2 linked regions of the Caenorhabditis elegans genome follow. The protein of the gene in region 1 purifies or fractionates together with the protein of each later gene. This does not show direct contact. Each region holds a gene or a part of one and is shown on either strand. Other genes may lie near its edges.

Region 1 (3,756 bases):
CGCATAAAATCATAGTTTCTCGACAAACGTTTTGTGAAGATTATCAACGATGGACGTTTATGTTTTTCACAATATCTTCTCACAACTTATTCTCAAAATCCATATTTGTTTTTTGCATTCTATACAAAATAAAATATGCCCATCAAACTCGAAACTAGCCTAAAAATGACTGAGATCCGAGAGGCGGGTGAAAAAAGTTTTTTTTTTTTAAGTTACGAACTTTAACCATAATAGTAGTGTTATTTGTCTTGGTTTTTTTTCAAAGCTACGAGAGTCACAATAGAAGATCGGCGTAATTTGTCTCAGAGAAAATTACAAGACGACATGTTGAAGATAGATGAGCTGATCAATGAAATCAGCACTAATCAGCTGGCTATTCTCTATCTTATAGCTTGTTCTTTCTATGCGGCCTGCGTCTCTTCAAATCCCTGCGGGTCGAATGTCACAATTCACCATCTCCTTTTCTCTTTCTTGCTCCATGTGCTTCTTTCTGTCCCCAGACTGGACCTTCTTGTGCTCTCCCACCCACACCGCCATCTTCCTTTCTCTCTTTGCCCCATCCTCGACTATCTGTATCTTCTTCGTTCTCACTTTTTATACTCGAGACTCTGTGGAAAAAGACACAGAAGACACACCAATGGCGTCAAAAATCTTTTTTTTTAGTTTCCCTCTGCCGGACACGATGCACATAGTTTCGGTGCGATTCTCTCAAGAGGATCCCCCATAATTATTTGTCACTCTAAATCTCAAGCTCTCTCATCCAGTTTTCATTCCCAATCTATCCATCTCCCTGTCACACTGAACTAGTGGAATGAATGTCAATATCATCAATCTGGACCACTGTTTTCATCTGTCTCGTTCAATTTTTTATCCCCGGGAAAAGCTATTATTTAGTGCTTCATTCCGTGTGTCTTGAGCTCATGGATACTTTGAAGACCTCATCTTTTTTGATTGAACAAACGTGACAAGACAATTTTATGAATTCTTAGAGAGTGTGTGTAATTTTAATTGCTTGCAGCATGCTTGACAGCTGCACTTACTGTTTTCCTTGAAATACGCAAACTTTCACTGATATGCCTAATTTTAGAAGTGTATTTTTGAAATTCAAAGGAAAAACTTAAAATTTACTTTCAAAATCTTTAAAGTAGCTGTTTTTATCAATCTAGAAAATGTCACTACAGATAAAAATATTGTATTGATATGTGGAGTCTTTTAATTGTGCTTTTCGTGAGTCAATAATTAAGATTGCATTTTTAATTTGGCAACAATTTAGAAATTTGTTATCTGGCAAATATGTTCTATGATACCGTAACTTTCTCAGATAACTTTAAGATTATTTTTTTGTCCATAACCTCTGTTCTCAACTTTAAGACATACAGTACCCCTTATACACAGCTCCCTTTTTTTGTTATTTTGAATTTTCTCTTCAACTATTCCCATTTTTGTCGGTCTTTTTCCAATTTACCCCAAAAAGTCCATCTCATCAAAAGCGCTTCAAGTCTTTTAGTTCTTATCCCCCATTCCTCTTTAAGCTCTTGAAACACAAAAAACAATTGCAGAAGAAAAGAAAAAAAGCAATTAACTAAGAAAGTGCACTCATCACAACTCTTCTTCTCGGTTCTTTTTCTGTCTCAATTATTCACGCAACAACGCTTACATGAAGTAGCAGTTTTTCGAGTGATTCTGACATTTCTATTCATTTGTTTCAAGTTTATGATTATTTTTAGATCCAAGTTTTGAGCAGATCCCGGAATCCTAGCATTCATCATTCAAAATGAAAACCACGAGATTTCAAAACAACTTTTTTCATTTCACCTACTCATAAATTCCATTCCGATTCAGTTATTGCTTTATTTTCAGAAATTTGGATTCTCATTTTCTTATTTTCGCTTTCGTTGGAAATAATATTCCCAAAAAATTTTCAGCCTTCATCTAGTGGCTCGAGTATCAAATGTCCAAGTCGGTGTCGATACCACAGGCACTGTCCGACTTGAAAAGGACATCCTTGAGACGGTTGAGCAGTGCACGTGGTGTTGGAAATAAGAAGACCGTTGTGAGCACTTCGACGCCGTTGAGTGGTTTTGTAATTTTGGTTGAACGAGAAGAGAAGGTTGTTCGGCTGTACGGTAAGTAAAAGATAATTTTATTTGACTAATTTATAAAAACATTTTGAAGTATTTTTATTGAAATAATTTGCAATTTTGATGAATTTTTACTGAAATTTTGTCAACGAACATTTGTACTAATGCGATTCTCCAAATCGTTGATGGCATCGGCAAAGTGGGCGTTTTTTTAACCTATATCGCAATTTTTTTCGCTTTTTTCAAGGTGTCTGGAAATCAGATATAAAGTGCTTTACAAATTTTATGCAGACTTCTGAAAAAATAATCGATTTCCATTACAGGAACTGCTGCGGAAAGAGCAGGATTGAGCATTGGAGATGAAATCGTTGGGGTAAATGACATGAAAATAGAAGGAAAAAGTTATGAGGAAGTCACAACTTATATTCAAGAAGTTTGATAAAATTTATGATACTTTCTTGCAAAATTTCAAATTTCAGTGTATTCGTCGAAAAATCATTCAGCTGAAAGTTAGACGTCGTGCATTAGAAATTCCAGCAGAAAATGAAGCTTCTGTTTTTAACTGTGAGTAAAAAAAAGTTTATACTTTTTCCTTTTTAATACTTAGTTTTTGTTTAATTTCAGGCACAAATTCGAATCGTATGATAACGGATGCATATCTAGTTTCCGTGGATAAGGATCATATCAAGGAAGTTACTAAACGGCTGAAAAAGTGAGTAATCTTTTTTTGAGAGAGATTTTCTTCTCTGCGATACTATCTGTGAGAAGCGGAACGTGTAAAGAACGGAAAGAAGAGTTCTTAAGTGCTCTCTATTTATGGTATATGCATAAACAGTGAATATATGACAAATAGTGCAAATACCACTAAGATTTGGTTTTTGGCAAATCAATGTTCTTGAAAAGTTCTCATATTTATTTCATTTCACTTAAAAAATTCATCTCTCTTCATTTTCTTTAAAATCTTTGTTGTTCACTCGTCGACCTGCTTTCTAGAAATTAATTAATGGCCTCGAAACTTTCTGACGGGCAGGGAAACACAAAAACACTGAGATTATGAATGTGAGCTAATTTGGAATTCTCGTTCGTCCAGTCTTCACAACTATATAGGTCACATTCTAGTATTTCACACAGTTAGTCGGCACGTCTAGTATGTCACAAACCAATAATCTGTCAAGGTGAAGACAAAAAATGGAGAAAAAAAAAGAGAAAAAACGGAGAGTTCCGTCGTCAAATATATCAATAAATCTAGTGATTAATCAGTCAACCTGGCGATTCTTTTTTATGTCTCCCTGATATTCTATTTCACAGTCAGTGGCATTTTCAAGTAATAGAACCTCCCATTGCGCTTATCACACTCATTCTCTCTTTCTCATTCCTTTTTTCTTATTCTTTCATCAACTTTTTAAATGTTTCTGTCTCATTACACTATTTATCAAAAAACTATCATCACTCAAATTCTGTGTTCTCTTCGTTTCGAAGGTTGTCTGACTTGTGATAATTGCAGGTTGTTAGGGTTTCAGAACGTTACAGTTCTTTATTACAATTTACTACGCTTTTGAGATTTTTTGTATGTTCACAGTTAGCTAAACTCTTGCCTAGCTTTGGAATAACATGTTACTTTCAATTTATTGATTCTTGTATGTTTTGAAAAGCAATGACTTTTAGCACCCTTTTA
Region 2 (3,756 bases), on another chromosome or scaffold:
TTAACTGGATTTCGATTACTACATACTAAACAGATAATATAGCATGAAGAGCAATATCTGAATAGAAAAAAGAAACTTTAAAGTAAATGTAATGCATGATTCAGTGAATAAATATGGAAAAATTGCTATGGAGCATTCGTAAGTGTACAACTTCGGCTTATCCAAATCCATTTTCCGCTTCTTTCTGACCTACAACAGTGACGCCTTCAAAATAAAATTTAAAGTGATAATCGTCTTTATTTTTGACGAGAATAAAATATATTGCAATAAAACTATAGTACATGTGATCACTTGTGAATAATAATATTTGACATGGAATTATAAACTTAAGACGAGCGGGATGGGTGAGTATTTTACAAGTTAATCAATATAAATTTATATTATTTACAGCATGCATTCGTCGAAACTTCCGACATCGGATTCCAAATGCGGCTGCCAATCCGAATCCTCGAAGTCGGCGGATACGTCGTGGTCACTTTCCCGGCTCACACGATCAGTGTCGATTTCCGGGCCATTCGGACATTCGCTGCAGATCTCGTCGATGCTCTTTTTGATGCTCTGGATGCGCTCTCGAAGTTGCCTAGCGAGTCCTTGTTCTGGCCCATTCTGGTTGGCAAGTGCACGCTGAATGGCATTTTCCACACGATCCAATCCCAGAATGGCGCTCCTCGCATCATCAGAAACATTGGCTTGATCTAGGTTGATGGTCGAACTGCTTGGTTCAGATGACATTTCCTCTGACGAATGAACGACATATGTGTTGCAAAGGGGATTCTGAGTTGATTGTTCGGGCTTTCCGTGGTCTTGCTCAGCGTCTTCCGAGTCGACATAGGCCAGCTGGTAGAAATCTCTGTTCAATGATTTGCACAGAATTTCATTAGTTTCCTCTCGACTCTAAAAAAATAAGATTTTAGTTCAATAAAATTATATACTCAAGAAATTTACCTTGTTCAACGTTGTCATAATTACAGCATTATCAAGTAGAATCGATGAAGTGTTGTTGAAGACTGCAGCTGGCACAGCGACTGTGTTGGAGTCACAATATCTCAATGGAACCAAGCTGTACTCGTCGTCACTTCCGTCCTCATTGATTGCAGGATTCTTCGGCGTGCTGGTGTAAAGTGGTGTGAACGGCTGTAAAACAACAAAATTAGCATAAAGTTGTTAAAATAAATATTCTCACCCGTGGCTGACGATCTTCCGGAGTGTTATCCAATTCGAATCGGACTGCTTTCAACACACGAGGAGGGAGTTTGAATCCTTTCGATGGATGTGGAGTGTATTTATGATCCTCAGGAAGCTCATCTTGTGCTGGAGTAGTTCGATGCTTCCAATACGAAATCTCGTCGTCATCCCACCAAAACTCGTCGTTTTTCATTGACGACACAGACTCGCGAGTCTTTTTTTCAACAAACTTCTCCATTCCGTCGACGTCGTTGTTCCGGAAGCACTTCATTATTTCATCGACAGTTTCTTTGTCCTGTTTCTTCTTCAAGTCCTTCTCAGTCTGACGCCATACAAACCAGCTGAATGGCCGGAAGAACGAGACGCCTTGTACGTCAGAAGTGTGTGGAGATGCCATAGAATGCCAGGAGCTCGATAATGAAGTCGATTTCATTGTTCGAAATGATGAATCGGAAGTGCTCTGCCCTGAGCAGTAGGACAGAGCATCTTCTCCGATCATCACTCCGGCGTCTTGTCGAACCATTTGGAATCGAACGGCTGCAAGAGAAAATATAATTGGGAAAAAAGGAAGGAAAAGTGGAAAAAGGAAATTGAATAAATAAATTTTCGAAAAAATTAAGTTTAAGCTTCGAAAATTAATCCTAAAAAAGAGAAAAATGTGATTCAAAAAGGCTAAAAGTGAAATGAGAATACGAAAATACGAAAATACGCGCCTTTCATTGCACAGGTCTCGGCGCGACTTTACCTCCGGAAAATTTGGCACATGCGTCTTTAAAAGAGTACTGTAGTTTCCTTCAATATTTGCGACAATGAAAAATCGATTTAAAATCGAAAATCTTCCCAATTTGTTTTAAAAAATTATAAGAAATTACATGAGCTCAGAACATTTTTCTTTGGTATTTTTTCATTTCTAGTTGAAATCCAGTTAAGTTGCTAAAATTTAATCCCGTATTTTGTTGATTTTCCAGTAATTTATTTCTAGAAATAAATCAAATGTGTTTTAAACTCTGAAATTTCAACAGAAAAAACAAATAATCATGCGAGTATTCGAAGAATCGCATAAACTCCGAAACTTTAATTTTTTTAAGTTCATTGCCCGAGAGGAGAACACGGCCGAGAATCTGAAAAATCATTTGCACGCGGAATTCAAATTAGATCCTCAGGAAGCTCATCTTGTGCTGGAGTAGTTCGATGCTTCCAATACGAAATCTCGTCGTCATCCCACCAAAACTCGTCGTTTTTCATTGACGACACAGACTCGCGAGTCTTTTTTTCAACAAACTTCTCCATTCCGTCGACGTCGTTGTTCCGGAAGCACTTCATTATTTCATCGACAGTTTCTTTGTCCTGTTTCTTCTTCAAGTCCTTCTCAGTCTGACGCCATACAAACCAGCTGAATGGCCGGAAGAACGAGACGCCTTGTACGTCAGAAGTGTGTGGAGATGCCATAGAATGCCAGGAGCTCGATAATGAAGTCGATTTCATTGTTCGAAATGATGAATCGGAAGTGCTCTGCCCTGAGCAGTAGGACAGAGCATCTTCTCCGATCATCACTCCGGCGTCTTGTCGAACCATTTGGAATCGAACGGCTGCAAGAGAAAATATAATTGGGAAAAAAGGAAGGAAAAGTGGAAAAAGGAAATTGAATAAATAAATTTTCGAAAAAATTAAGTTTAAGCTTCGAAAATTAATCCTAAAAAAGAGAAAAATGTGATTCAAAAAGGCTAAAAGTGAAATGAGAATACGAAAATACGAAAATACGCGCCTTTCATTGCACAGGTCTCGGCGCGACTTTACCTCCGGAAAATTTGGCACATGCGTCTTTAAAAGAGTACTGTAGTTTCCTTCAATATTTGCGACAATGAAAAATCGATTTAAAATCGAAAATCTTCCCAATTTGTTTTAAAAAATTATAAGAAATTACATGAGCTCAGAACATTTTTCTTTGGTATTTTTTCATTTCTAGTTGAAATCCAGTTAAGTTGCTAAAATTTAATCCCGTATTTTGTTGATTTTCCAGTAATTTATTTCTAGAAATAAATCAAATGTGTTTTAAACTCTGAAATTTCAACAGAAAAAACAAATAATCATGCGAGTATTCGAAGAATCGCATAAACTCCGAAACTTTAATTTTTTTAAGTTCATTGCCCGAGAGGAGAACACGGCCGAGAATCTGAAAAATCATTTGCACGCGGAATTCAAATTAGATCGAGGAAAAGAGTAGTATTTGGAACTTTGTACATCATAACATCTTTCTGGGAGACTTTTGTGATGTTTCCCTTATGCACATTGCCTTGTTAGATCATATAAAAAGCTTTTGAGCAGAGTCTCAAATATTACTACATCACCTTTACATTTTGGAACCTTTAATTTTTCAATGGAAGTTTGTCTTCTCAACAAATAAGACAACAGAAGAACACATAAAACTTTATTGATAATGAAATGTCTAGTTCCAATCACTTGTTTCTCTTCGATGCCTTTGCTTTCTTATGTGTACTCATTTTGGATCCGAGTTTCGATTGTGCAGTTTTTGCATCTCCACTATTAGCTCCACCACTTCCTGGCTGTTTC

Evidence for each region.
Region 2: the proteins of magu-2 (region 1) and kca-1 purify together in Caenorhabditis elegans (affinity purification with western blotting, with the first as the bait; one study listed by BioGRID). This does not show direct contact.

Annotation. Positions count from the first base shown.
Region 1 is NC_003283.11:8,799,192-8,802,947, reverse strand, and holds the start of magu-2 (MAGUK p55 subfamily member 5), read left to right. Parts: upstream 1-1,919; 5' UTR 1,920-1,951; coding exon 1,952-2,126; intron 2,127-2,404; coding exon 2,405-2,514; intron 2,515-2,560; coding exon 2,561-2,645; intron 2,646-2,705; coding exon 2,706-2,793; intron 2,794-3,756.
Region 2 is NC_003279.8:4,759,600-4,763,355, forward strand, and holds kca-1 (Kinesin Cargo Adaptor), read right to left. Parts: upstream 1,723-3,756; 5' UTR 1,709-1,722; coding exon 1,184-1,708; intron 1,135-1,183; coding exon 946-1,134; intron 895-945; coding exon 385-894; 3' UTR 221-384; downstream 1-220. Other genes in the region: kin-35 (Protein kinase domain-containing protein), read right to left, coding at 3,642-3,756.